Linked DNA regions of Callithrix jacchus. The protein of the gene in region 1 purifies or fractionates together with the protein of each later gene. This does not show direct contact. Links are inferred from orthologs where the notes say so. Each region holds a gene or a part of one and is shown on either strand. Other genes may lie near its edges. The genes, in order: RHOD, PLXNB2, DAAM1 and DIAPH2.

Region 1 (7,446 bases):
CCTGCATTTTCATCTATGTACAAAACCTGGCCTGTTGCCCATTCATGTCATCTTCATGGCAAGGCAGTCAGCTTAGGCTGGGCAGGGCTGGAGTGAGGGGCCTCTGTCCTGAGTGACCTCCTCCCAAGCCCAGGCAGAACAAAGAAGAAAGCCCAAACGTGGGGCACTGGGCTGGGCGTGGTGGCTCACACCTGTACTCCTAGCACTTTGGGAGGCCGAGGCAGGTGGATCTTGTGAGTCCAGGAGTTTAAGACCAGTCTGGGCAACATGGCAAGATCCCATCTCTACAAAAAATTACTTTGGGAGGCCAAGGTGGGTGAATTGCTTGAGTTCAGGAGTTTGAGACCAGCCTGGCAACATGGCAAAACTGTTTCTACAAAAAAAGAAAAAGATACATAAGAAGAATATGTATGGAAAAGAAAAAAGAGGGCCGGGCGCAGTGGCTCACGCCTGTAATCCCAGCACTTTGGGAGGCCGAGGCGGGTGGATCACGAGGTCAAGAGATCGAGACCATCCTGGTCAACATGGTGAAACCCCGTCTCTACTAAAAATACAAAAAATTAGCTGGGCATGGTGGCGCGTGCCTGTAATCCCAGCTACTCAGGAGGCCGAGGCAGGAAAATTGCCTGAACCCAGGAGGCGGAGGTTGCAGTGAGCCGAGATCCCGCCATTGCACTCCAGCCTGGGTAACAAGAGCGAAACTCCGTCTCAAAAAAAAAAGGAAAAAGAGAGAAAAAAAAAATAAAAACAGTCTGGGCATGGTGGCTCACGCCTGTAATCTCAGCACTTTGGGAGGCCAAATCCAGTGGATCACAAGATTAAAAGATCAGGACAATCCTGGTTAACATGGTGAAACACTGTCTCCACTAAAAATACAAAAAATTAGCTGGGCGTGGTAGCACGCTCCTGTAGTCCAGCTACTCGGGAGGCTGAGGCAGGAGAATCTCTTGAACCCAGGAGGTGGAGGTTCCAGTGAGCCAAGATTGCACCACTGCACTCCAGCCTCAGCGAGTGGTGGCATCTTGTTTGGATTGTGAGAGGTTGAGAGACAAGGGAAGAAACCCAAAAAGCTGTGAGTTCCCCAGCGCAGGGATTGAGTCTTTTGTTGCCTGCTTCCCAGTGTCCAGAACTGGGCCTAGAGAAGGTGCTATTGCCGCTGAACAAATAGATGAATGAACGAAACAAGGAATGAATAAACATGGAGGTTAGTGTTCTAGGAAGAGGGGACAGCAGAAATGGGAGTCCCAACGATACGTGCCCATGGTCCCAGCTCTTGGGTGGCAGAGTCAGGAGGATTGTTTGGGGCTGCATTGAGTTGTGATGGTGCCTTTGAATAGCTGCTGCACTCCAGCCTCAGAAATATAGGGAGACCCTGCTCTAAAAAAAAGGAAAAAACCCTGCCCTTATCCAGAGAGCAATGATAAAAATAACAGTAGTTGGCATGTAGATGTGCTTATTTTATGCCAGGCCCTGAGCTAAGTGCTCCGCACGGAACACCTCCCTGAATCCTTATAGCAGGTGGCACTGTGGTAGGGACTTTTTTTTTTGAGACGGAGTCTTGCTCTGTCACCCAGGCTGGAGTGCAATGGTGTGATCTTGGTTCACCGCAACCTCCGCCTCCCGGGTTCAACTGATTCTCCTGCCTCAGCCTCCTGAGTAGCTAGGACTACAGGTGCCTGCCACCACGCCTGGTTAATTTTTCTATTTTTGGTAGAGACAGGGTTTCACCATGTTGGCCAGGCTGGTCTCAAACTCCTGACCTCTGGTGATCTTCTCACCTCAGCATCCCAAAGGGCTGAGATTACAGGTGTGAGCCACAACACCCAGCCTTTTTTTTTTTTTTTTTTGAGACAGAGTCTTGCTCTGTCACCTAGGATGGAGTGCAGTGGCACAATCTTTGCTCACTGCCACCTCCCGGTCCCAAGCGATTCTCATGCCTCAGCCTCTTGAATAGCTAGAATTACAGACAGGCACCACCATGCCTAGCTAATTTTTGTATTTTCAGTAGAGATGGGATTCACCATGTTGGCCAGGCTGGTCTTGAACTCCCGGCCTCAAGTGATCTGCCCACCTCAAATGTGCTGGAATTACAGGGGTGAGCCACGGTGCCTGGCCGGTAGGGACTTTTAATATTCCCATTTCACAACTGAGAACAAAGCTGGGGAGGTTCAAGACCTTGCAAAAACAGACAGACTCTAGGCTGCCACCCAGGCAGGCCAAGGAAGAGGCTTCTCAGAAACAACTACACTGCACTGACCCACAGAAGGTATGGTGTGGTGAAGAGCCCAGGGTCCTGCACCTCTCGGAAGTGTCCTCACAGCCTGCCCTGCCCTGCTTCTCCTCAGAGCTACACCCCCACGGTGTTTGAGCGGCACCTGATTGACGTGCAAGTGAAAGGCAAACCTGTGCACCTCCACATCTGGGACACAGCAGGTGGGTGTGCAGGGGCGGTGGCAGGGCCCCAGACGTCCCCCAGATGCCTGGGACAGACTCCACTCTGCCTTCTGCTGAAACAGGGAGGCCAGCCAGTCTCCAAGGGACAAGTGTGGGCCAGGAGTCGGCCCAGGAACCTGAGCCCTCCTTGCCACTGCAGCCATGTCCACCTGTACCCCCAGCACCCCAGGGCTGCCCGCTACGTCTGGAGGCAAGCATGAATCCAGTGCTTCGCTTTTAGGACTGCTCTTGGCCTGCTGAGCACTCCTCCCTGCTTTTAGCTTCTGTAAGATCTGCCTGTCCGAAGCCTCTGCCCTCCAGCCTCCTGACCTTGCCTCTTCAAGGCTGAGCTCTAAGCTAAGCTCAGGGCATCCCAGCAGCCCTCTTAGTTGGACAGGCTAAGATGTCTTTGCCAGGTTCCCACCTACCCCTCATTTCTCACTCCTAAGTTCAGGGCAAAGCTGGCTTCTGAGCAGTTGCCCCAGTTACTCCAGCTGGCGCCAGGCCTGACCTCTGCCTTGCCCAGAATCCCTTCCAGACATTCCACAGGCAGAGGTGAGCACTGCCCCAAGGGGGCACTCACATAGAGTAGCCACCTCAGAGCCAAATTTGTGCCAGATGCTGAGGCACAAAACTAGGCCCTGTCCCCAGAAGCTCCCCATCTGATGGGGTGACTTCCTGACATTGGGGCGGTGCTGATAGGGGCCAGGAACCCTGAAGGCAGTGACCACCCCCACTCTGCCCAGGGCAAGATGACTACGACCGCCTTCGGCCCCTGTTCTACCCTGACGCCAGCGTCCTGCTGCTCTGCTTCGATGTCACCAGCCCGAACAGCTTTGACAACGTCTCTGCCCGGGTAGGTATGGGATGCAGGGAGGCATAGCCCCCATAGCCGGCCACTTGGCTCTGCTGCCCACCCTTGACCCAGCTGACTGTCAGAGGTTGGCAGGCCCGAGATGACATTGAGTCCAGAGGCTCTGGCATATATATGGGGAAACTGAGGCCCAGAGTGGGGCAGTGGCTTGCCCAGGGTCCCTGGCACAGGGATTTGGTGGCAGCATCTGCCCTTCTGACTCCCAGTACAGGGCTCCTTGCCTACTCTAGGCTGCAGACTCCGAACGCTGTGGCTCTTCCCACTTCGAGTCTGCCTGAGGTTGCTGGTGACCCAGAGGCTCCTGCATCTCCAAAGCCTGCGCCTGCCCGAGGCACATGCACCGTCAGGTCAGAGTCCAGCAGCTCTTCGTGGCTGCTGGTTCTCAGAGGCTGCCCACGGGCATCAGGGATGTGGCCCCTTGAGTTCCTCTCTGTTCCAGCTGCCTTTAGCCGTGGCACAGCCCCTCACCCACTGCCACCAGGGCCTCCGAGGTTCTGCCGGGTACAACCTGTGATAGTATTTGCAACAACAACAACACCGACGGCGACGATTTTAAGGACTGACCACGTTCCAGGCACTGCTCTGGGTACTAGCATGTATTTACTCATTTACCCACCCCGGCCAACCTTATGGAGTATTATTATTCCTGGATCGAGTCACTCGTCCAAAGATATACAGCTATTAAAGTGGTAACACTGGTTTGAACCCAGGCAGCCTGCTCCACCCATTCATTCAGAACGAATGATTGAGCACATCCGTCTGCCAGGTGTTGTTCTGGGCACTGGGGACCAGGAGAGATGGTGGTGCCTGGGACCAGGGTGCTAGCCGTGGGGGTGGTGAGGAGGGGGTTGATTCTGAATCAGTCTAGAAGGCGGAGTTTGCTGATGATCAGGGTTTGCTGATGGATTGGAGGTGGATGGGAGGGAGGAATTTTTACCAGAGCAGCTGGAAGGTGGAGTCGCCCTTGCCTAGAATGAGGAGCAAGCTGGGGATGGGGCGTGGGATGGGGAGAAGGCAGGTCTGCTGGACATCCTAGTGGAGGCATCCGGCAGGCAGTGCGAGGCATGCTTCTGCAATTCGTCTGAGCAGGCAGGACTGTTGGGGAGAGGAGGGAGAGCAGCTAGAGGAGAGGAAAGTCCACAGCCTGTGCCCCAGGGAGAGGAGGAGGAGGATAAGGCCCCAGAAGACCTAGGAGATCAGGACAGTGGGGTCCTGGGGTGAAGTGCAGGCTTGGTCAGGTAGGAGGGAGTGATGCCCAGGGTCAAGGCTGTCAAGGGATCTGGTAGGAGCAGGGCTAAGGATTCACTGCTGGTGGCCGGGCACAGTGGCTCATGCCTTGTAATCCCAGCACATTGGGAGGCCGAGGTGGGTGGATCATTTGAAGTCAGGAGTTTCAGACCAGCCTGACCAACATGGCAAAACCCTGTCACTACTAAAAATACAAAACTGAGCTAGGCATGGTGGCAGGCACCTGTAGTCCCAGCTACTCAGGAGGCTGAGGCAGGAGTATCACTTGAACTGAGGAGGTGGAGGTTGCAGTGAGCTGAGATCACACCACTGCACTCCAGCCTGGATGACAGAGTGGGACTCCATCTCAAAAAAAAGCATATTCACTGCTGGGTTAAGTGGGAGGCACCAAGGAAACCTTTTTCACTAACACTTTGGTGGATGGGTGGGGTGTGGGGAATCTGCCAGGGACCCCACAAAGGCCCCATTGGTTCCAGGAATGAGGTAGTGGGACGCCATTTTTTTTTTTTTTTTGAGATAAAGTCTCACTCTGTTGCCCAGGCTGGAATGCAGGGGTGCAATCTCTGCTCCGCCTCCTGGGTTCAGGCTATTCTCCTGCCTCAGCCTCCTGAGTAGCTGGGATTACAGACTCCTGCCACCATGCCTGGCTAATTTTTGTATTTTTAGTAGAGACAAGGTTTTACCACGTTGGCCAGGCTGGTCTCAAACTTCTGGCCTCAAGTGTCTGCCCACCTTGGCATCCCAAAGGGCTGGGATTACAGGCATGAGCCACCAAGCCCAGCCGATGCCAATTTTTACTGGGCACGTTTGACACCTGAGCCGGCAGACTTGGTGCTCCTGGAGATAGAAAGCCCCCTCTCTGGATTCCAAGCCCCCCACCTGCAGTCCAGGCTGAAATAACTCGGGCCTGGTGGCCTCACATTTTGCAGAGCAGCCTTCCCTCCACCAGGCAAGCAGTTGAGGCAGACAGCTGCTGCGGCATTTTATGGGCAGATTTATTTACTTATTTATTTATTTTGAGACAGAGACTCTGTCACCCAGCCTGGAGTGCAGTGGCTCCATCTCAGCTCACAGCAACCTCCGCCTGCTGGGTTCAAATAATTCTCCTCCTTCTGCCTCCCCAAGTAGCTGGGACTATAGGCACGTGACACCACGCCTGGCTATTTTTTTTTTTTTTTTTTTTTTTTGAGATGGAATCTCTCCCTATTGCCCAGGCTGGAGTGCAGTGGCGCGATCTCGGCTCACAGCAACCTTCGCCTCCTGGGTTCAAGCAATTCTCCTCCCTCAGCCTCCCAAGTAGCTAGGATTACAGGTGCACACCACCACACCCAGCTAATTTTTTGTATTTTTAGTAGAGACGGAGGGTTTCACCATGTTGGCCAGGCTGGTCTCGAACTTGTGACCTCAGGTGATCCACCCTCCTTGGCCTCCCAAAATGCTGGCATTGCAGGCATGAGCCACCGCACCTGGCCACCGCACCTGGCCAGATTTATTCTCAAAGAATCACTTCTTTCCTTATATATTTTGCCCAGTTTAGGGGGTGGCTGTGAGGGCCCTTACCCTGCAGAGAGGCAGGATTCTAGAAGGGCAGGAGCCCCACCCCTAGGCTCAAATCCTGCCATTTCCAGCCAAGGCCGAGTTACACTGCCTCTCTGTGCCTCAGTTACCACATCTGCATGGTGGGATTGATTATGAACTTGCTGCCAGGGAGTTGGGGGATTAATGGGTCCATATGCGTAAATTCTTAGATGAGTCTGGTACTGAATAGTTTCTCCCTAGATGCTGGCTGTGAGGATTACCGATATCAGAGTCCAGGCTGGGGAGCGGGAGCGTGGCCCGCTGAGAGGGCCGGAACTCTCCGGGGCTCACACACGCCCCCTCGCCCCCTTGCAGTGGTACCCAGAAGTGAATCATTTCTGCAAGAAAGTGCCCATCATCGTCGTGGGCTGCAAGACTGACCTGCGCAAGGACAAATCACTGGTGAACAAGCTCCGAAGAAATGGGCTGGAGCCTGTGACCTACCACAGGGTAGGAAACCCAGCCTGAGGTGGGAGTGGGTGACTGGGGGCGGGGACCTCTGGATGCCTCTCAGTGGCACCAGGCATCCAGCACACTCAGGGTGTAGGTCAGAGCAGGGGTCGTCTTAGGGGCTGTCAGGTCAGGAACTTCCAGCACTTGGAAATGGTCCCTAGAATACCCTGGGAGCCTCTGCCGGCAGAAGGGAGAACAAGAAAGTAGGCGTATCAGAGTCAGTTCCACCACCAACCTGAGACCCAGAGAGGAGGCCAGGCAGGCACCCACATATTCAGACTGTGGGTCCCTCTGCTACACACTTGGGTCCATGGGAAGTTCATTTCTTGGTGCCTCGAGAGGCAAAGAGGCCCAGCGCAGAACAGAGGTAAGAAACACAATGAGGGCCAGGCACAACGGCTCATGCCTGTAACTTTGGGAGGCTGAGTCTGGAGAATTGTTTAAGTCCAGGAGTTTCAGACCAGCCTGGGCAACATAGGGAGACCTCATCTCTACAAAAAAAGTAAAAAAAAAATAGTGGGGCATAGTGGCTGGTCCCAGCTACTTGGGAGGGTGAGGCGGGAGGATCCCTTGAGTCCAGAAGTTCCAGGTTACAGTGAGCCAAGATTTGCACCACTGCATTCCAGCCTGGACAACTGGGCAACAGAACAAGACCCTGTCTCAAAAAAAGAAAGAAAGAAAGAAAGAAAAGGCCAGGCATGGTGGCTCACTCCTGTAATTCTAACACTTTGGAAGGCCGAGGTGGGCAGATCACAAGGTCAGGAGTTTGAGACCAGCCTGACCAACATAGTCTCTACTAAAAATACAAAAATTAGCCAGGCGTGGTGGCAGGCACCTGTAATCCCAGCTACTCAGGAGGC
Region 2 (7,446 bases), on another chromosome or scaffold:
GGGCAGGCACGTATGGGGCAGGGATAGGGCTCCCACACTGTAGGCGCTGAGGAGGGCTGGGGTGCCAAGGCTTTGTGGCAGGACGGGTGGGCTGCCTGCCCAGGGTCCTGATGGGATGGTCTGCAGGGCTCCTCCCTGCATGTGGGCAGTGACCTACTCAAGTTCGAGGAGCCAGTGAGGATGCAGGAATCGGGGACCTTCATCTTTCGGACCCCAAAGGTACAGCTCCAGGGCAGGCCGGCTCAACCGCTGGACCCCAGGGCCCCAGATGGGGTGGGGGTCACCTCCAGGAGTGTGAAGGGAGGGGCGGCAGGGAGACTCCTGGGACCAGAGCCCAGCCAGGGGCTTGCCATGCCCTGCCCTGCTGGGGAAGCCCCTCTTCCCTCTCCCTCCTTGGGGACAGAGTGGCATAGAGCAGCATCTTTGGAGATCCTGAACTGCCCCCACCTTTGGAGATCCTGAACTGCCCCCACCTGAAGGCCTCTCTTGCTGCCCTTGGCTTGGAAGGGACCCAGTGACCATGGGGTGGTTGTCCTTGTGACCCCTTCCCTACACCCCTCTGTGGGGGCAGGAAGTGCAGTGTGTCCCTGCGTGTCCCCCAGCTGTCCCACGATGCCAATGAGACGCTGCCCCTGCATCTGTATGTCAAGTCCTACAGCAAGAATATCGACAGCAAGCTTCACGGTGGGGCCACGGGCAGGGGACGGGAAGGGAGCAGGGCATGGGGTGGGGGATAGGTAGGGGGATGGGTAGGGGGACAGGCGGGCTGAGTGGGGAGCAGGCGGGGGGTGGGCAGGGGCAGTGGGGAGCAGGTGGGGGCGGGCAGGCTTGGGGTAGCCATTGACTGCTGCTCTCCCCGCAGTGACTCTCTACAACTGCTCCTTTGGCCGAAGCGACTGCAGCCTGTGCCGGGCCGCTCACCCCACCTACAAGTGTGCGTGGTGTGGGGGTCAGAGCAGGTGCGTGTACGAGGCCCTCTGCAATGCCACCTCCGAGTGCCCACCACCCGTCATCACCAGGGTGAGCCCCTTGAAGCCTGGCCCACGCCACCTATGCGCCTGGCCCAAGCCCCTGCTCACCTGGCTCTGTGGTTTCAGATCCACCCTGAGACGGGCCCCCTGGGCGGGGGCATCCGTGTCACCATCCTGGGGTCCAATTTGGGTGTCCGAGCAGAGGACATCCAGAGGATCTCTGTGGCTGGCCGGAACTGCACCTTTCAGCCAGAAGGTTACTCCGTGTCCACCCGGTAAGTGGACGGCCCTGGGCCCCTTCAGCTGGGTCAAAACCCATGCCGGGGTTCTGGGTGACTGGGTGTGTGTAGAGGCTGAGGAGTGAGAGTGTCAGGAAGCGGGTGGATCAGGGAGGGCCTGGGACACCCTGCCTGTCATCCGCCAGGATTGTGTGTGTGATCGAGGCTGCAGAGGCGCCCTTAACTGGGGGTGTCGAGGTGGATGTCCTCGGGAAACTCGGTCGTTCACCTCCCGACGTCCAGTTCACCTTCCAAGTGAGTGCCTGGCTTTGGGGACCTGTCCTGTAGCTGCTAAACCCGGAAGAGGGCTCTGCCCCCCGCCTTCCCACCAGCGTTATTATCCAGCCCAGGACTGAGGGTGTCCTGAGCCTCGTATTCACCCGAGTGCCCCTGCGGCTCTTTTAGCAGCCCCAGCCTCTCAGTGTGGAGCCGCAGGAGGGACCGCAGGCGGGTGGCACCATGCTGACTATCCACGGCACCCACCTGGACACAGGCTCCCAGGAGGACGTTCGGGTGACCCTCAGCGGCATCCCGTGTAAAGTGTGGGTGTCACCGCCAGCTGCTGTCTGGTTGGCTCTGGCCCTGGGTATGGAGGGGGGCACTTACTGAGACCTGCGTGGTGGAGGAGATGGCGAGGCCAGCCTGGTCGGGCTGGGGTTGGTCGGGGGAGGGGGTTGACGCAGACCAGCACCCTCCCTCCCCCAGGACGAAGTTTGGGGCGCAGCTCCAGTGTGTCACCGGCCCCCAGGCGACACGGGGCCAGATGCCCCTGGAGGTCTCCTACGGGGGCTCCCCTGTGCCCAGCCCCGGCATCATCTTCACCTACCGTGAAAACCCAGTACTGCGAGCCTTTGAGCCACTGCGAAGCTTTGCCAGGTGAGGCTGGTGCCCCGCCCCTTCGTCCCCTGTGGGGAGGAGGGGAGCTACCCTCTGCTCCCCACACCCACACACCCAGCTTCCTCTTCTGTGCTCTCGGCTGACTTCACTGAAAGGAATGTGGTGGGGCTGGTCTGCACAGTGGGAGGAGGCCTCCTGAAAACCCCACTGCACCCCAGATCCGCTTCCTCCTAGAAACCAGACGGGCACACCTCAGACTCTATGTTCACCAGGCCCCGCGTGCCCCCCTGCCCACTTGTGGCACAATCTCGAGCTCAGCACGGCCCATCGTGTTGCCCCTTTGCCCACCCAGACCCACACGTGCACCTGGAAGCCCTGCGTGGCCTGAGCCAGGGTGGGTGGGGATGGGAGGGCAGCGCCTGCAGGGACCACCCCTGCCAGCTGAGCCCACAGAGGCACTCCCCTCCCCAGTGGTGGCCGAAGCATCAACGTCACGGGTCAGGGCTTCAGCCTGATCCAGAGGTTCGCCATGGTGGTCATCGCAGAGCCCCTGCAGTCCTGGCAGCCTCCACGGGAGGCCGAATCCCTGCAGCCCATGACGGTCAGTCCTGGTGCAGGCTGGGGCTCAGCTCTGGCGCTAGCCAATGGGGACGTGCCCGGGAAGGGCGGGGCTTGCACCCGTGGTCTGATGGCCGGGACTTGCCTGCAGGTGGTGGGCACGGACTACGTGCTCCACAATGACACCAAGGTGGTCTTCCTGTCTCCGGCTGTCCCCGAGGAGCCCGAGGCCTACAACCTCACGGCGCTGATAGAGATGGACGGGCACCGTGCACTGCTCAGGACAGAGGCTGGGGCCTTTGAGTATGTGCCTGACCCCACCTTTGAGAACTTCACAGGTGGCGTCAAGAAGCAGGTCAACAAGCTTATCCATGCCCGGGTGAGGATGCCGCAGCCACAGGGACTGGGTCCTGCTGGGGTCTGGGCTGAGCTGGGCCGTGTCCCCGTTTCCCTCCTGCTCACCCTGACCTCTGCCCGCTCCCCAGGGCACCAACCTGAACAAGGCAATGACGCTGCAGGAAGCCGAGGCGTTTGTGGGTGCCGAGCGCTGCACCATGAAGACGCTGACGGAGACCGACCTGTACTGCGAGCCCCCGGAGGTGCAGCCCCCGCCCAAGCGGCGGCAGAAGCGAGACACCACCCACAACCTGCCTGAGTTCATTGTGCGTGAGTGCGGGTGGGCGGGGGGTGCCCCCTCGGGACCCAGCTGAACCTGGCCCCCCACACAGGTGAAGTTCGGCTCTCGAGAGTGGGTGCTGGGCCGTGTGGAGTACGACACGCGTGTGAGTGATGTGCCGCTCAGCCTCATCCTGCCGCTGGTCATCGTGCCCATGGTGGTCGTCATTGCCGTGTCTGTCTACTGTTACTGGTGAGCCTGCCCCGTGGCTGTGCCAACGCCCTCCTGCCTCAGCCTCTCTGGCTTCACCTGCCGCCCTGCACAGGCAGGCATGTAGATCCACCTCCTCATCCGGGCAGCTGAGGGGCTGGCCGGGCAGGACCCAGGAGTCTCCCTGTGCCCCGCAGGAGGAAGAGCCAGCAGGCTGAGCGTGAGTACGAGAAGATCAAGTCCCAGCTGGAGGGCCTGGAGGAGAGCGTGCGGGATCGCTGCAAGAAGGAATTCACAGGTAGGGGCGGCTGGGTTGCAGGCGCCCGGGCACCTCCTGGGGCAGGAATGCTGTGTGTGGCGGGGGTCAGGGCCCCAGGTGGCCAGGACGTCTCACGCCAGCCTCCCCCTAGACCTGATGATCGAGATGGAGGACCAGACCAATGACGTGCACGAGGCCGGGATCCCCGTGCTGGACTACAAGACCTACACCGACCGAGTCTTCTTCCTGCCCTCCAAGGACGGCGACAAGGATGTGATGATCACCGGCAAGCTGGACATCCCCGAGCCGAGGCGGCAGGTGGTAGAGCAGGCCCTCTACCAGTTCTCCAACCTGCTGAACAGCAAATCCTTCCTCATCAACGTGAGCCGGGAGGCAGCGGGCCAGAGGGCGGGCGGGAGGGTGCACAGGCCCCGGGCAGGCTCTGACTGTCGGCCCCCGCAGTTCATCCACACCCTGGAAAACCAGCGGGAGTTCTCGGCCCGAGCCAAGGTCTACTTCGCGTCCCTGCTGACGGTGGCACTGCATGGGAAGCTGGAGTACTACACGGATATCATGCGCACGCTCTTCCTGGAGCTCCTGGAGCAGTATGTGGTTGCCAAGAACCCCAAGCTGATGCTGCGCAGGTGCACACGGGTGGGGTCACAGGCGGGCGGCTGCAGGGGCTCTGGGGCTGGTGGTGGGTGGCATGGAGGCCAGTGGGGCACCCAGGAGCCGGCAGGTGCCAGCCAGCACCGTTTGGGGGCAGCCCAGGGGTGGTGTCCCTGGCAGCAAACACAAAGCCAGACTCCAGCCCTTCCTGCCCGGTGGTTTCAGCTGGTCATGTTATTAGCCTGCTGCACAACGGGACCATTAGCCTGCCCCCCCCACAAGGGCTGGAGCTGCCACCAGGCAGTCCTCGCTGCAGGCCACACCCAGGCCTGGATCGGGGCGAGGTTGTTGGCCCAAGGGTGGCAGTTGCTTGGAGGGACTTGCTGGGCCTCAGGAGTGCTAGGGCGTCACTCGGTACAAGGCTCCCTGCACCCCCAGGTCTGAGACGGTGGTGGAGAGGATGTTGTCTAACTGGATGTCCATCTGCCTGTACCAGCACCTCAAGGTGGGTCCCGCCCAAGCTGGGCTGGGGTTGACAGGAAAGGCAGACTGGTGCCGTCCCCCTCAGTGTCCACCTGTCCGTACAGCACCTTGCGGGGGGCCTGCCTGGACAGCTTCGCTTCCTGTCCCTGACACCGCCAGCCCCATCTATGCCTCTGACCAGGCCTCAGGGGGCCCCTTATAGGCCGCAAGCCCCCTGACTTCCCAGCCTCCCCTCCGTGTTACCCCAGGACAGTGCCGGCGAGCCCCTGTACAAGCTCTTCAAGGCCATCAAACATCAGGTGGAAAAGGGCCCCGTGGACGCGGTGCAGAAGAAGGCCAAGTATACCCTCAATGACACGGGGCTGCTGGGGGACGACGTGGAGTACACACCTCTGGTGAGCTCCCGGGGCGGGCAGGGCTGTTGTGGCCTCCTCGGACCTGCCCTAAGGAGCTTGGGCATCCCTGGCTGTAGACAGGACCCACAGGCCAGAGCTGTCCGCCTCCTGTGTGGATTCAAGTAGAGCCAGCTCTCTGTGCTCGGGGAGGGCCTGGGTGCTCGTGGGTGCAAGCTCTGGAGGCTGTAAGTGTCAGCTCTTCCTGGGTGCCCCTGCCTCCTTTAGGGCATGTGAGGGGCCTGGTGTCCCATATTCTGTGCACGAGTGACCGGATCCTGTGCTCGTGACCTATACATGTGCTTCTGTGAGCTTGCGTGGTAGCCTGAGTGAGCAGTTCTGAGCTGTCCCCGCTTTCTGTCCTACTGAGCAGAGCAGGCAGGGGAAGGGCAGAGTGTGGTCATCGCGGAAGCCTCGGGGGCTCAGAGCAGGGCCTGCCGCCTGAGGGTGCCGCTGTGGTGGGCAGAGTGGCTCCTGCTTGGTGCAGGTGAGAGCAAGGGCCTCTCCCCTCGGGCTTCATCCGGTGTTTTCTGCAGACGGTGAGTGTGATCGTGCAGGACGAGGGAGCCGACGCCATCCAGGTCAAGGTCCTCAACTGTGACACCATCTCCCAGGTCAAGGAGAAGATCATTGACCAGGTGTACCGTGGGCAGCCTTGCTCCTGCTGGCCCAGGCCAGACAGCGTGGTCCTCGGTGAGTGCCGGCCACTGCCTGTCTGCACGCAGTGGACAGGTCCTGTGGCAGGTCCTGGCCGGCTTTCTCCCTTGGGAGTGGTGGGCAGTGGGAGGAACTTGGGCGGCCTGGGCCCAAGCTGGGCTGTCTCTTCCCACAGAGTGGCGTCCAGGCTCCACAGCCCAGATCCTGTCGGACCTGGACCTGACGTCACAGCGGGAGGGCCGGTGGAAGCGAGTCAACACCCTCATGCACTATAATGTGAGTGTGTGGTGGGCTGGGGCGGGCTAGAACCGGGAACCCGGGGGCAGGGCCCCTTCTCATTGCTGTGTTTCCCAGGTCCGGGACGGAGCCACCCTCATCCTGTCCAAGGTGGGGGTCTCCCAGCAGCCAGAGGACAGCCAGCAGGACCTGCCTGGGGAGCGTGAGTCTGTCCCTCTTGCCCATTTCCTTCTAGCTCCTGGAGGTCGGTGCAGACCGTGTTCGCCCTTGGCACATGCAGTCCTGCCCACCCTGACCTCAGGGGCACAGGCACGGGAGGTTCCTGAAAGCCCCTCTGGGGAGGTGGCCCAGTGGCTGTGGCCGAGGCCCAGCCCTCCCACCACCAACCAGGGGAGCTGTGGGACCCAGGCCCCAGGGGTCCCTCAGCGCCTGCTCCCCACAGGCCATGCCCTGCTGGAGGAGGAGAACCGGGTGTGGCACCTGGTTCGGCCGGCCGAAGAGGTGGACGAGGGCAAATCCAAGCGGGGCAGCGTGAAGGAGAAGGAGCGGACTAAAGCCATTACTGAGATCTACCTGACAAGGCTGCTCTCCGTCAAGGTAGGCCGCCGTGGGCATGTGGGCTGGCCCCAGGAGCCGCAGCCACGGCACCACGCTGAGCCCCTCTCCCCACAGGGCACGCTGCAGCAGTTTGTGGACAACTTCTTTCACAGCGTGCTGGCCCCTGGGCACGCCGTGCCGCCCGCGGTCAAGTACTTCTTCGACTTCCTGGACGAGCAGGCGGACAAGCACAGCATCCAGGACGAGGACACCATCCACATCTGGAAGACCAACAGGTGAGCCTCTGCACCCACCCGGCCGGCCCCGCCTCTCACTCATCTGAACCTCTGCACCCACCCCGCGGCCCACCCGGCCAGCCCCGCCTCTCTCTCATCTGAACCTCCTGCACCCACCCTGCGGCCCACCCGGCCCGGCCCAGCCTGCACCCACCCTTCATCTGAACCTCTGCACCCACCCCGCGGCCCACCCGGCCCGGCCCCGCCTGCACCCACCCTGCGGCCCATCCTGCGGCCCACCCTGCGGCCCACCCGGCCTGCCCCGCCTCTCACTCATCTGAACCTCTGCACCCACCCCGCGGCCCACCCGGCCGGCCCCGCCTGCACCCACCCTGCGGCCCACCCGGCCCGGCCCCGCCTGCACCCACCCTTCATCTGAACCTCCTGCACCCACCCTGCGGCCCACCGGCCCGGCCCCGCCTCTCACTCATCTGAACCTCCTGCACCCACCCTGCAGCCCACCCGGCCCGGCCCCACCTCTCAATGACCTGAACTTCCTGCACCCA
Region 3 (7,446 bases), on another chromosome or scaffold:
AATATAAAAGGTCCACTGTAAACTGCATTCTCCCTAGGTACAAAAATAGTCTACTGCAGAGAAAATTCTCAGCACATGCTTGAAACCCATTTAAAACCAGATGTTACTTAGATATAGTGCATATGTACAGTAACTCCTATTTGACCCCTCGAACATTTTAGCTCTCCCAGTTGTTACTGAAATAGGATAAATAAATATCTTACATTGTCACCATTATCTCACAGGCAGCAGAATAAGAAGAGACTTACATTCGTACGACATTCTTAATATTAAAGTTTTCCAAAGGTGTGGAGTCAGGGTCCTGTCCTTTGTCATTCTGGATAACTATCTGCTGTATAATTCTATCTAGTAGTAGCCAGTACTGAACAGTGTTGCCACTCCTTTTGTCTAAAAAAGAAGAGAACAGTGAAAGAAAATGCTCAAGTTGTTTCTGAGCTAGGACGAATATTTGTCAATAGCGGTCACCCTTCAGAGCCACAGAACCAGAGAGGTTTACAACATCTGTACCAATGCTTCCCAAAGTTTATCGAATTTTGACATGCAATGATCATTAATGTGATTGAGAGGGACCTTCTATACCTTTCTAAACAGGTTGTAGGGCATATTTTTTATTTTTTAAATCAAAATTTTGTTTCATTAAAAAAATTTTGTAACACCCCTTAAGCTATGTAGACACACGAACTGGGCTGTCATAAAACCAAGCCTTGGAATCTCTGGTGTGCACCAAATGTAATCAGCACTGCGCAGGGGCCAGAACCCTTTGGACAATGTCCAAACATTCAGAAGCACACATGTAAGTCACAAATACACTTACAAGGCATTTGGAGGCAGTGGTGCAGGATGGACATGAAATGCGGGTAAGCTTCACTATGAGTCAGCCTCTTCCTGGTCAGCTCAAACATCTGAGTTGCACTTTTTGTGTCTATGTGAACCTATTTTATAGGAAAAAGAAATCAAATCAAACATCTAAGTTCTTCAATTCCCCCAGTGTAAAATAAACTTAAAGCAAACAGAAGCTAATCCTGCCCCTTAGGTAACAAAATAGAGCTTCGATTTTGCTTTTAGGTTGCATTAGTCCCTATGAACTCTATAACACACATTACAAAGAGAAATAATGTGAACTGATAAGTCAAACCAGAATAATTGTAAGCATATATACCAGTTCAAATCTTTTGGCAAATTCTAGTTCATCTTCATTCCGGAGCATTTCAAAAAAGTCTAAATGCCTGAAAAATAATGAAAGAAAAGTTATTAAGTAGAACATCCTACAAACACAGGTGCATAGGACTGAGGACATGAATACTAAGGTTTTTCCTGACTTTTCAGAGATAGCTCAGAAAGAAACAATGGAACAAAATTTGAATGCTTCAACTTAACTATGTTCTTTCTAAGGAAAAAAGACATCACCTGAGTGAAACAGATTACAATAAGAGAAAAATTTAAAAATCTAGGCTGCCTAGCGTATAGTAGGCAATTATTAAAACTAAATCTAAAAACAATCAAGTCCAAATTCCATTCATGGATTCCCTTTATGGAAAAACATGCCCATAAACCTACACTTAACTTCCAGCTGAATTAAAGGTGACAAAACAAATGATCATGCCATTCATTTATTCAGTCATGTATTTATTGAGCACCTACTATGTATACTACACACCCTGGATGCATTTTATGAAGACAAACACATCAGGGTAAAAAAAATAGAAAACGGTGGCAGATGAGGTGAATAATGTACACAGTGGTTACATAAGGTCTCTCTCCAGGGAACTAGGGAACAAACAATTTGGACATCTGTGAAAGATCTTTTGAAGCTGAGGAAACAGCAAGTGCAAAGGCCCTGACGCAAGAGTGTTTTGACGTGTTCACAGACTATCAAGAAGAAGAGCATGCTGGAGTATATGAATATAGAGGAGAAGAGAACAGTGGTAGAGAAAAGCTCTGAAATCAAGTAGGGATAGTTTAGAGATAGTAAAATGATTGCAAACGAGCAAATGAATAGGCAGTGGAACAGTCACAGTATGCCTGTCAAAAGGGCTAAGTGATTCCATAGGTTTTTTTAGTCAATTTTTAAAATATTCCTGGAAAATAACTGTCATTATCATCATTACCACCAGCGCTTATTTTTTTTTACAGGAATAAAAATAGCAAAATTCGGAAAAATGGAGTAACTTCACCAGGATACACAGGACGTACGAGGCAGGACTAGGATAAGACATGAATTCAGGTCTAACGCCAAAACCCACATTACGTTTTCTATAAAATGTGCTGCTTCCCTCATCAACAAAGTCTTACTATAAAAACATCATTAGTTGAACTAACATTCTGGTACAAGCTCTTTACATTACAGACGGGGCACAGGTAACCACAGGCCAGCACTTGATGAGGCATTGCATTACAGATGGAAAGCACAGAAACTTTCTCACATCATAGCATTCTGACTTACCTATCTAACGTTGAATTTTCATGTTCCCTTAATTTATCTATTACAGGTTGAATTCCTAACATCAGAAATTCATAGCGAAGATGAAGTCTAAAGTCCAAACTCTCCTGAAAGTAAATGGGCAATAAAATACATATTTGTGGTTTTTAGACTAAATAGTAATCACTTTTTATAAATTATTCTTTACTAATAGATTTTTAATTTATAGTAGAAGGTCCTTACCACTCCTGCTCCTTGGCTGAGCACCGCATTAATGAAGGACATGATTGCAGTCTTGAGACTCACTTCATCTCGATACCGCCCAGTGCTTTTATCCAAGTCGTTAATTAATGTCTATCAAAAATATAAATATAAAAACAAAGGACTGAAACATTACTAACCTTATGCTCATTTTATGAATTTTTTTAGACTCAAAGTTAACTTTTCAAATCTTGTGTTTAGTCAGGATTATACTGACCCATAGAAAGCACCCTTTTCCCCCCTTAAGAACAGTCCTAAAAACTCTAATTTCAAAATTCTTACATCATACATACATGTATACAAAAGCCTTTGGTTCATCACCTCCGCTTGCTTTTTACATCTGACTAATATACTGAAATATGAAAAATTATTCATATTGATCCTAATTCAAGAATGGCAAGCTGTAATATTTTCAGGGAACACCCAATTTGGTGGGTTCAAAAGATGTGAGCTGTATGACATGTAGGATGCAAGGCCACAATTTCAAGTTCTGCAAATTTAAAGCTACAGACTGATCAACTATGGAAAATATACTCTATTCTCTGGTTCTTAAATCTAAGAAGGAGGGAATATTTGAAGTCACATTGTGAGTAATCACCACAGGGGGAAATGTAATGTTCTCAAGTAATGTTCCCCTTCAGAGACAGGAAAAGCACGTGTTTGAGCAGACTTTAAAGAAGGGGTGAGTGAAGAAGGCTGAGGGAGCACCCACCTGAAAGCGGGTCCTTTCACTGGCATATTTCTGGTAGTGCAGCATGGCCTGCAGAACCTTCTTGTGGCCCCCAGGAACCAGGCACACGGCGCCCAAGATTTCCAGCACGGCCACCTTTGTTTTAATGTTCTCTGTGCTCAGACTCTGAGCAATTACATTAATACTCTCAGAATGAGCCAGGACATGAGCCCGGCCTTGAGAGTTGTTCATTAGTGCCTTTATGCAGCCAATGAGAGAAGTATGTATTCGAGACTCTGATGTCTCATAGTCCATGGTCTTTAGAAAGTTGAGGATACATGACAGGCCATCCAAGTCGATGAATCTGGTTACAAACCTGTTGTGAAGAGAAGTACACCACACTTAAGTCCCTTTGGGGTTTTATAATAGCCCCTAATAGAAAAGTCTGGAGGGTGGGGGAAAGTAAAATTTAGTTCCTGAAGTGCCAAAAGGCTTACACTGATGAAGTCTTTTTAATGCTCTGCCTCTTCCTCAGCACAGACCCAACGGTCAGGTCTAACCAAAAGTGTGAAAAAACAAAACCCTCCATTTGTGCAAAACACATCTCAACAAGAACAAAGAACCAAGTAACAGATCACATGCTTATAAAAAAGCAAGAGAATACTCAGAATACATATCTTGTCTTAGGTTAAAATCATTTGCAGATCCTGTGTTATTTAGCATACAGTTCCAGTTCCAATACCCCACCCATCCCCCGTTTTGTTTTTAAGAGAGACAGGGTCTTGCTCTGCCATAGCTCACTGCAGCCTCGAACTCCTGAGCTCAAGTGATCCTTCCATCCCAGCCTCCCGAGTAGCTTGCTATTTTCCCCAGACTGGTCTTGAACTCCTGGCCTCAAGCAAACCTCCTGTCTCAGCCTCCCAAGTAGCTGGTATAGTGAGTGACAACGTCCAGCCATGCGCTTTTATGTTGACTGCTAATGCACTTTTAAGTGCTGATCACTGACCTAAACGCCCTATTAATGAAAGTCAAGAGCTTCCTTACATTCCAAAATATTTGCTTGTCAAACAAATGATAATCTATATCCCAAAAATTTTATTAAAAAACTATTCTCTTGTTTGACATGCTACATGGAATCTCATTATTCCATATACATGGAATACAATAATAAAGCAATACTTTGTTGTATATTAACTTTATTAATATTTCTTACACTTAATGTTAAGCTAATCAATGAGAATAACTCACAATACACATGTACATAGCCACTGAAAAGCTCAGAAGTAACATAATCTGTTTATGTGATAAATTTTCCAAACTTATTAGCCTTGGATATTGATTAACATCTGAGAATGCAGAACACACTGAGAGAAACGGTGACAGGATAGTCTAGAGCTCAGTCATATAACTACACAACATTTTTAATGAATCAGGCTTTTCTAAGTTTTCATTTTATAGTCAAATAAAGAAAGGGAATCTTTATTTTCTAGGCTTTTCACCCAACCACATGACCCAGCTATAGCCAAGCTCATTAAACCAGCTGGCTTCATTCATAGCACCTGTGCTCATGAAATGTACATATAAGAACCTCAACACCTCACCAAATCCTACAGGCATTAAAGAAAAATGAAAGTGCAGGAGGCACACCATAGAAGCTGATTATCAGAGAGGAAATGAATCACTATTGCCAGAAAGTCTACCCATCTTAAAAAAATTAGTTGTATTGAGAAATAATTCACATGCCATAAAATTCACCCTTTTAAATTGTACGATTCAGTAGTTTTTAGTATATTCACAGAGCTGTGTGACCATCAACACTATCTAATTTTAGAAGAGTTTAATCACCCAAAGAGAACATTTTCCCCACTTCCTCAGCTCCTGGCAACCACTAATCTACTTTCTGTTTCTATGGATTGGCCTATTCCGGGCATTTCATAGAAATAGAATCATACAGTATGTGGTCTCCTTTGTTACTGGCTTCTTCCACTTAGTATATTTCAAGGTTATTTCATGTTGCAACATGTATCAGCACTCCATTCCTTTTTTTGTAGCCAAATTATATTCAATTTTGTGGATATATAACATTTAATTTATCATTTCATTGGCTGATGGATATATGGTTGTTTTCACTTCTTGGCTATCATGAATAATGATATGAACATTTGCATACATGTTTTTGGGGGACATGTCTTCATTTCCCTTGGCTATATTCTTAGAAGTATAATTACTGAGTCATATGGCAACACTATATTTAAAATTCTGAGAAACTGTTAAAATCCTTTCCAAAGTGGCTTCACCATTTTATGTTCCTAGCAGCAATGAATAGGGTTCCAATATTTCTACATTCCTGCCTACTAACTTGCCATTGTTAAAGTCTCTGTCTTTTTTATTTTAGCCATCCTAGTGGCGGCCTGTATACCTTTGAACAGAAGAAAATAGTTTTATTGGCCGGGCGCAGTGGCTCACACCTGTAATCCCAGCACTTTCGGAGGCCAAGGCGGGTGGATTACAAGGTCAAGAGATCGAAGACCATCCTGGTCAACATGGTGAAACCCCGTCTCTACTAAAAATACAAAAAATTAGCTGGACATGGTGGCGCGTGCCTGTAATCCCAGCTACTCAGGAGGCTGAGGCAGGAGAATTGCCTGAACCCAGGAGGTGGAGGTTGCGGTGAGCCAAGATCGTGCCATTGCACTCCAACCTGGCTAACAAGAGCGAAACTCTGTCTCAAAAAAAAAAAAAAAAAAGAAAATAATTTTATTAAATGTTAATGATTAAAATATGTTACTCATGGTTTAATTTTATGGTTTTAACTTAAGACTTAATAGAAGGTTTGACTATTGCAGAAAAAAGGAGGGAAAAAGGAGAGAAAAAAACCATGCTAACCAGGGAAAATTACCTCATTGGTTTTGTCCTCAGTGCTGTCTTCAAACTCTCTATAGTTTTACTTCTCTCTTCTTCTTCTTCCTTCTCTAAGGCCAGCAGAGATTTTCTCTGTACAAAGAAAACAGAAGTCACTTCTTCAAATTCTATTTTTTAATTACAGTACAAGCAAGACAAACCTAAGATTATTTGTTACCATCACTTTAAATATAAATAATAAATCTATAATCAAGTAAGCTAGGTCCTTCAAATTCTAAATAAAGCTTTAAGGAAAAGTTTAGAAATCTTAGTAGAGACTATGTTGCCCAAATGTTTGTATAACTATTCTACAATTACACTTTGATATAGATATTACTATTTGTATTTGATAGAAATAAGATTGAACCTGTAGTTGAATACAATGTTCTGGCAATTACATCTGAGTAATATAGTGAAACATGAAAAATTATTCATATTGATCCTAATTCAAGAATGGCAAGCTGTAAAATTTTCAGGGAACACCCAATTTGGTGGGTTCAAAAGATGGGAGATATATGACGTGTAGGATGCAAGGTCACAATTTCAAGTTCTGCAAATCTCAAGTCCCAGAGTCTGAGAAATTATCACATTATCAAAAAGAGGAGGTGGGCAGCAGTCCTCCCACACTACCATCCCTATTCCTCAGCCAAAAAGTGTAATCAAGACCAAAGGGATTTTGTTACATCAAATTATTTTTTAAGAAGAACAATTAAATTGGAGCTATTACTAGGATAGACAATTCCTTCAGAGTAAAGGCTTAACTTCTAGAAATGATTCACCATCATTTAGAAATCAGAGTGTGAGTGTGAGTGTGTGTGTGTGTGTGAGTGTGTGTGTGTGTGTGTGTGTGTTTCTACACAGGGATCTGCTAGAGCAGTCCTTCTCAAACTTTAATGTGGATTTGAAAATCACGTGAGGATAGTCTTAAAATGTGGAGCCTGGTTTGGTATGTCTGGTTTGAGCCTGGTTTGAGGTGAGGTTTGAGATGCTGCATTCTTGACACATTTCTAGGCAATGCTGATGCCGCGAGAGCAAGGTTTTATGTAAGACTGCAGTAATAATTCACGATTATAAAATCATGAATGCCAGTAAGGTGTCTAGTCCTTTCCATTCCCTTTCATTCAGCGATCACCTGGTTGTCCTACAGTACCCCCAATCTGATGACTCCAGGAACCTCCACCATGGAGCTCCCAGT
Region 4 (7,446 bases), on another chromosome or scaffold:
TGTAAGGATGGACCCTATGAATTTTAGACAATGGTTTTTCTTCTAAAAATAGACCACTCAGGTTATGAAGTTACAGTATTTTTTTTTTTTATAAACTATTTGTTTACTGTCTTAGAAGTGACCTCTACAGGGGTCGGGTGCGGTGGCTCAAGCCTGTAATCCCAGTACTTTGGGAGGCTGAGGCGGGTGGATCATGAGGTCAGGAGATCGCGACCATCATGGTCAACATGGTGAAACCCTGTCTCTACTAAAAATACAAAAAATTAACTGGACATGGTGGCGCGTGCCTGTAATCCCAGCTACTCAGGAGGCTGAGGCAGGAGAATTGCCTGAACCCAGGAGGCGGAGGTTGCGGTGAGCCGAGATCGCGCCATTGCACTCCAGCCTGGGTAACGAGTGAAACTCCATCTCAAAAAATAAATAAATAAGAAGTGACCTCTACATACCTATAGATGAAATACTATTGACTAATTCACTTAATTACCTAATTCCTTTTATATAGTATTTTAATCTCAAAATAGAAATAATTATAGCAATAACTAGAAGTTTGCCAAATATAAAATATAGCTATTAACCAATGCAATAAGATTGTATATTAATCTATAGAGTCTCAAGCATATGGAAATATATATAAGTATATGTTATACATACATGTACCAGAAAAGAGTATTAATATATCAGTATATGTAATGAATGTTTGCTAGTGGACATGAGACTCCTGAATACAATATGCTAGTTGTACTGTTTCTGGAAGTTTCTTACAGAAACATTCCCATCACTACTGGTACAGATTTTCTCAAATTCTGGGCTCTTAGTGTTTGGCTACAAAGTTAAACAGAATCTGATGCCTAATAAGGAATTAATGAGCATTGCTGCTTCACAGCTCAAGATGGAGCTCTTTCTTCAATTGAAGGAAACAGTCACTTGATGGAAAGAGAACATAGTACCAGAACTCAGGAATTACAGTTCATGCTTTGCCCCTAATAAGTTGCATGGCCTTTGGAAAATTACTTGACCTCTCTGAGTATCAGTCCCCTCATCTGTAAATTTAGCTATAGGACCCTTTGTTCTAAGTTTTTATTGACTCATGTTGTCAATTATCACAGCTTTTCAGGATGCTAAGTAATTTTAATCAGGACAGTCACTAGAGAGAGTTGTAATAGAAAGATTCTTATAGAGCCTTTGTTTTCACAGGACATACTTTGATTTGTCAACAGATTCTTAAGAGTTTGACAGTTTCAAAAAGCATGACGATTTGACTTAGATTATTTAAAATTGATATTTTTAGTTAGGCCATGTTAATGTCTTGCACATGGGTACTCGGAGCATGAATTAATAATATTTTTAAATTATTGACATGTGACAAAACAGGCATAAAATATGCATTCAGAATAGAAAATATACAGTGATCTTTTCACTTCATATTAGAATACATTGTCCAGATCAAGGAATTAAGCTTTTATCCGAAATGACTTACACATCAAATTTTTTGACCCCATGGAGTTTAGATTACCTACTTCAAAAACTTCTTTCTCTTATCCAATGCATATAAAAAATAGGATCATAAAAAGCAACCCATTGTTTTAACTTCCAGTACAATAATACTGCTCTGATGTTTGGATTAATGATTTTCCAGATATATTTTTCATGTCTTTTTTTATTTTCGATGTGTTTCTGCATGTTAAAAACTATTTTTAAACATTAGGTAACATTTTTAAAAGCTAAATGATTTCACTCTCAGTCTCAATGACTCAAAGCTATTAAGTTTGGTAATTGCATTGTAATCATCTATCAGTTTTACAAATGTGTTTTTCACTAATATTCATTACTTTTAATCATCTACTGGCCACCTTTATGTGTACTTATCTATTTTGTTTTTGTTGCTTCTTTCCAGGCATGTTTCTCCATTTTGTTTTGTTTTTTTTTTTTGTCTTATCTCCGTATATTTTCTTATTTATTATAACCTATGATAAAGTCACATTTAAGAGCTTTAGCTGTGTTCCCCATCTGCCACTCTGAGTTCTTTTAGAAGTTAAATTAGGGATGATGGAACTATTCATATGGTTGGTAATTAACTAAAGTTTAGCTGAAATGGAAAATCTGCTTCAATGAAATATCCAATTTCACTATTAGACTGTAAAATAAAGCAAAAATATTTGATAAAAAATCACAAAAATACTTTGTGGGACAAAGATCAAAGAATAAGTTGTCTTCTTAATGTAATAAATACTCAAGTTTTAGACTTTCATTAGAATTTCTTTACTTATTCATGCATGCACATGCATACACACAGGTATTCATACTTAGAAAATAAATGAAGATGATGTTTTCTCTCTTTAGTTGACTTGTGACATTTAATAAAACACAGGTGCCATATCTTTAGGTTCACAGCTTTTGTAGTGTAGCACAGCTGTCTGAATCAGGGAGGATAAGAGACAGAAGGCATGGGAATACCCATACTGAGGCTTATACTGGCATATAGTATTCAAAAGAGCCTTTTTAAAAAAAAAACATTTTTCTCTTTTTCTTCACCTTAATTTTTCATACAAACATATTGGACAATTTAGCCATGAATTCCAGACATCTCCAGGGAGACCCAATGACATAAGTAGAATTACTTTAGAAAATCATATCAGTATGTGCTTTACATGTTATTCTTTGTTGAAGAAATACTGATTGTTCCCATATTTCTCCAAATTTATGGAATTTTTAGGGCAGGCTAATGGAGATCATATCTGATCAAGGAGCAACAACTCCAAGATGCAGTCATTTTAAATAAAAAACAAAGACAGATATCTGCATTTGAATAATATTCATATAATTAGGTAGAACCTTATTGTGGGGGTATGGATTTTTGAAAGATCATTGTAAGTTGCTTTTTTAAATTAAAGATATATTCCTTAGACATTTTGAATGATGGTTCTTTTTTTTTTTTTTTTTTTAGTTTGGATTACAGAGGATTCTAGGAGATGAAAGAAGTCTTTTACTATTGGCAAGAGCAATTGACCCCAAACAACCCAACATGATGACTGAAATAGTAAAAATACTTTCTGCTATTTGCATTGTTGGAGAAGAGAACATGTAAGTATTGCTATATTATTATATTTGCTGCATGGAAAATGACATTTGAGAAATTAATAAATTCTACTTTTGTCCTACTTCTTTGGATAACTTTCATGAAAACAGTATTTTAGATAATTTTTGATTGACAGTTTTATCTTGTCTGTTTATATTTTGGCTTTTTTGTTGATATTATGAAAACTAAGTTTAAATAGATAGAATCCTAGTGGGAAGTTCTTGGAAATTTGATTCATAGTGATTGAGTAGAATTTTGTTTTGCTGGAAGTACAGCAATCATTAGAAAGTGGACAAAAGTCAGAGAGTTATTTTGGCAAATACACACACATATATACACAAACACTGTACTGCATATCACACAATTTGAATAGATGCCTTTGTTTTGCATTATTATCTTATAATAGTATTTTACTTTATATGCCATGGTCAATGAAAAGATGAAGTAATTATTTGTAGAGTGAAATAAACCAACCTGTTGAAAGCAAAAATAGGTTGTTCATAATTATTCAAAGTGTATAAGTGCTACCAAATGCAGCAAGTTGTTGCAGAACATGCATTTTATCATATCTTCTTATGGAAATAATATTGAATCAGAAGTAAACTTTCAGATTTGATGACATTAGTAAGTCTAGTTTGTAAGAAACCATTGTGATAAAGAATCAAATATCTGCTAAGGACCTGCACTATGCGATATGTTGACTTTCTTATAATTGCTAGCATAAAATGAGATGTTGCTTAGTGTTAGCTACTGTCCTCAGAAACCAAAAGACAAACACTAAAGAAAAATACTAAGTCTCACTCAATGAAAACAAGCTGAGAATGAGATAACATATGCAAAAGCAAGGATCCTTAGATTTTATTGTTTTAAATCTCAGTTTACACCTGTGTAAGAAATATTTTTAATCACTTAGATTTTCAGTATTCATTAAATACAGTCTAGTCCAGTATAACTATTATGATTTAACTATAATTTCAGATATAATTTGGTAAGAGTAGTATACTACATAGAGGTTAATTTGTTTTAGGCACTGTGTAGCATTACTTAACAATATTTTTGGTCAGGTTAATAAGTTTCTTGTGCTAGATAATTATACATTCTTCTTTAATTACCTGGGCTTTCCTTTTTAGAGTCTTTTTTCTTTTTTCATTTTCAAAAAATGTTGATTTAAAAAATTATTTAAAAAATAATCACTCTGTCTAGAACTTTATTATAAAATTACAATCTGCTTATGTTCTAATTAACTGTTAACAATTATAGGTGCCATATTATGTTTAAGTGATATTAAAGTTAACACATGAAATATCAAAACCTGAAAATTTAAATTTTAATGTTTATCGCTTAGTATTCTTTACAAAATGTCACCCAGTAAAGTTACTTTCTTTAGAATTTTTAAAATCGAATTTTCCTTTTGATGCCCTAAAATTATTTACATCTATCAGTATTGGACTTAAAGAAATATGCAGACAGAAACACAGTTCTTATATTGTAATGGTCTTTCATTTAGACCAGAGGAATCAGTTCAAGAAATCTATTTTACGCCATAGTGACTATAGTTAATAACACTTTAAGTGTTCATACCACAAAAAAATGTAACTACGTGAGGCAATATGTGTTAATTAGCTAGATTTAGCCATTCCACTATGTATACATATTTGAAAACATACACTTTTCATCAATTAAAAAAGTAAATGATAATTTTAAAAAATTATCATAGTATATATAAACATCAAATACCAGAAAGAAAGCAGGGAATACTGAAAGAACCCATGCTTATAGTGTGTGTATAAGAAGTATTTCTCATTTCTGTTTCTTCTTTTTTCTCTACAGTCTAGATAAACTTTTAGGGGCTATAACAACGGCAGCAGAAAGAAATAACAGGGAACGATTTTCACCGATTGTGGAAGGTTTGGAAAATCAGGAAGCCTTGCAATTACAGGTGAGTTCGTTTTGTCTTAAATTGCTTCTAGAGTTATATTTAGAGTACTCATTTTGTATGACATCAACTCCATCTTAGCTGACATTTAAATAGTATGAAATGTAAAACTAAAATTTTTCTGTTTCTTGTTTGTGAGAATTACATTTTTTTTTAATTCCGACAGATACTTTGGAAGTATTATAAATATGGCAGTTATGACTCATTGATATTTGGACAGGAATTTAGTAATTAATATAATAGACCAGGGAAATTGAACCCTTAGCAATAATCAGACAAAAGGGCAAGTAGTTCAGCCAATGCCATTGTCCTAACATGTGTTAATGAAGTCTGTGGACTTGTAGAAATTTAAGACAATTAAACACGTCTTTCTTTGTGCCATTCAGACAACACTCAAAGGTCTGACTCACCAGAATAGAAGGGATTAAATTGCAGTTCTTAGGTTCGTGTCCATTTCATAGCCCTATTTAGACACCACTTACTAAATGCCTTCTTTAGAAAATGACAAATCTCACTGTCTTTTCTTACATGGTTTCAGGAAATGATCCATTTTATGAATGATAACTCAGTTCTTGAGGAATGAGAATGCATGTTTATTGCCTATATTTATGGTATGAGATCCTGCACTAAACATGTTAATTTCATATATTATTTGATTTAATTCTAAAAACAACCTAGATATGTAGCTATTACTATAGTATCATCTTTGTTTTGCTTATGGGATGAATAAGCTGAATGAGATTAAATAACTGGTCTAACGTGACACAGTTTTTAAGTGGTACAATTGGAATTTGATTCCAGGTTTTTGGTCTCTGCTAATCTCTCTTTTATATACCATTTAATGTACCGTGGAAAAGTCTCTAAAATTTGTTTTTAATTTTCGTATTGTCATTCAACAAAGAGAAGGTAGTTTCTACATTTAATGTTATCAGTATTGAATGTTTAAGTATTAAAATTTCTTGCTTGATGTGAAACAAACACAATTAATTTTCTCCTTTTTTATATATTCTGTAGTATTTGTATCTTTGTTTGCCAGAATTTGAAACGGCAAAAGATAGATGAATTGGCTTGTCTAAAGAGAATCTGTAGGCCGGGCGCGGTGGCTCAAGCCTGCAACCCCAGCACTTTGGGAGGCCGAGGCGGGTGGATCACGAGGTCAAGAGATCGAGACCATCCTGGTCAACATGGTGAAACCCCGTCTCTACTAAAGATACAAAAAATTAGCTGGGCTTTGTGGCGCGTGCCTGTAATCCCAGCTACTCAGGAGGCTGAGGCAGGAGAATTGCCTGAACCCGGGAGGCGGAGGTTGCGGTGAGCCGAGATCGCGCCATTGCACTCCAGCCTGGGTAACAAGAGCGAAACTCCGTCTCAAAAAAAAAAAAAAAAAAAAAAAAAAAAAAGAGAATCTGTAATGTAACAAAATTGTAATTCTTCTCCAAATATTCAAGGATCTTTGTTAATCATGACTTATACTCCAATGATACTAAACATTTTGGATCAACTTTTATGGTGTACTTTTCTGTCAAATATATTACTTATTTATTTAATTAATTTTTGAGATGGAGTCTTGCTCAGTTGCTCAGGCTAGAATGCAGTGGTGCGATCTCCACTCTCTGCAACCTACAGCTCTCAAAGCAATTCTCCTTGCCTCAGCCTGCTAAGTAGCTGGGATTACAGGTGCACACCACCACGCCTGGCTGATTTTTGTATTTGCAGTAGAGACGAGGTTTTGCCATGTTGGCCAGGCTGGTCTTGAACTCGACTTCAGGTAATCTGCCTGCCTCAGCTTCCAAAAGTTCTGGGATCATATTACATATTTCAGAAATTAGGATTTTTTTTAGCAGTGTTTTCCTTTTTATAATACTTTTTTCTTATAAAATTTAATCTTGATAAAATTTCATACCTCTACTGAAAGGTGGAAAACTGCCTTTTTTTGACGACCTTGAATTTTTTGACGACTAAATTTCATACTCAGTTTGTCATACTTGGGCCAAAAACATTGATATATTTTTTAAATCTTCCTTAAATAAATTTGTAGCCACAACTCTGTGAGTTATATCAGTAAACTCTGGTTTACTGATCAGGGAATTGAATTGCTGGAAGGCACTCAAAAATCACACAGCTGTTAAGGAATAGAGCTGTAATTTGAACCCAGGTCTTTGTGATGCCAGAATTTAAATACTGCATTGCCTATACTTTCAAGGGACACCTCTGCCAATGAGTAGTTCACCCCAAACAATAAGATGGGAAAGATACTTGCTAGCCTTCAGGAAGCTGGACAGAATGGAATGATAAAATAACAAGTTGTTAACAAGTAACATATGGAAGAATCACAGACATCTTGTTAAGTGTTCAAAAAACTGTTGAATACTGATTATAGATGCAAACATATGCACACCACAATTTAAAATTTCACATTTTAATGAGCTACAAA

What was found.
Region 2: the proteins of RHOD (region 1) and PLXNB2 purify together in Homo sapiens (affinity purification with mass spectrometry; 3 studies listed by BioGRID and IntAct, counting the BioPlex papers as one, with this or other methods). This does not show direct contact. The link is inferred for Callithrix jacchus from reciprocal best matches to the Homo sapiens genes RHOD and PLXNB2.
Region 3: the proteins of RHOD (region 1) and DAAM1 purify together in Homo sapiens (affinity purification with mass spectrometry; 3 studies listed by BioGRID and IntAct, counting the BioPlex papers as one, with this or other methods). This does not show direct contact. The link is inferred for Callithrix jacchus from reciprocal best matches to the Homo sapiens genes RHOD and DAAM1.
Region 4: the proteins of RHOD (region 1) and DIAPH2 purify together in Homo sapiens (co-immunoprecipitation; 3 studies listed by BioGRID and IntAct, with this or other methods). This does not show direct contact. The link is inferred for Callithrix jacchus from reciprocal best matches to the Homo sapiens genes RHOD and DIAPH2.

The regions. Positions count from the first base shown.
Region 1 is NC_133511.1:124,151,626-124,159,071, forward strand, and holds part of RHOD (rho-related GTP-binding protein RhoD), read left to right. Parts: intron 1-2,345; coding exon 2,346-2,433; intron 2,434-3,135; exon of another isoform or gene 3,136-3,179; coding exon 3,180-3,289; intron 3,290-3,513; exon of another isoform or gene 3,514-3,893; intron 3,894-6,334; coding exon 6,335-6,583; intron 6,584-7,446. UniProt on the Homo sapiens protein: Involved in endosome dynamics. May coordinate membrane transport with the function of the cytoskeleton. Involved in the internalization and trafficking of activated tyrosine kinase receptors such as PDGFRB.
Region 2 is NC_133502.1:218,856,734-218,864,179, reverse strand, and holds part of PLXNB2 (plexin-B2), read left to right. Parts: intron 1-126; coding exon 127-219; intron 220-602; coding exon 603-684; intron 685-862; coding exon 863-1,020; intron 1,021-1,097; coding exon 1,098-1,246; intron 1,247-1,395; coding exon 1,396-1,504; intron 1,505-1,654; coding exon 1,655-1,791; intron 1,792-1,954; coding exon 1,955-2,125; intron 2,126-2,557; coding exon 2,558-2,687; intron 2,688-2,795; coding exon 2,796-3,023; intron 3,024-3,129; coding exon 3,130-3,306; intron 3,307-3,372; coding exon 3,373-3,512; intron 3,513-3,667; coding exon 3,668-3,768; intron 3,769-3,880; coding exon 3,881-4,110; intron 4,111-4,191; coding exon 4,192-4,373; intron 4,374-4,776; coding exon 4,777-4,843; intron 4,844-5,069; coding exon 5,070-5,216; intron 5,217-5,749; coding exon 5,750-5,906; intron 5,907-6,045; coding exon 6,046-6,146; intron 6,147-6,224; coding exon 6,225-6,309; intron 6,310-6,549; coding exon 6,550-6,704; and 3 more.
Region 3 is NC_133509.1:94,025,156-94,032,601, reverse strand, and holds part of DAAM1 (disheveled-associated activator of morphogenesis 1), read right to left. Parts: intron 6,345-7,446; coding exon 6,250-6,344; intron 3,727-6,249; coding exon 3,393-3,726; intron 2,774-3,392; coding exon 2,663-2,773; intron 2,548-2,662; coding exon 2,444-2,547; intron 1,227-2,443; coding exon 1,160-1,226; intron 933-1,159; coding exon 815-932; intron 388-814; coding exon 249-387; intron 1-248. UniProt on the Homo sapiens protein: Binds to disheveled (Dvl) and Rho, and mediates Wnt-induced Dvl-Rho complex formation. May play a role as a scaffolding protein to recruit Rho-GDP and Rho-GEF, thereby enhancing Rho-GTP formation. Can direct nucleation and elongation of new actin filaments.
Region 4 is NC_133524.1:93,113,702-93,121,147, forward strand, and holds part of DIAPH2 (protein diaphanous homolog 2), read left to right. Parts: intron 1-2,944; coding exon 2,945-3,081; intron 3,082-4,906; coding exon 4,907-5,015; intron 5,016-7,446. UniProt on the Homo sapiens protein: Could be involved in oogenesis. Involved in the regulation of endosome dynamics.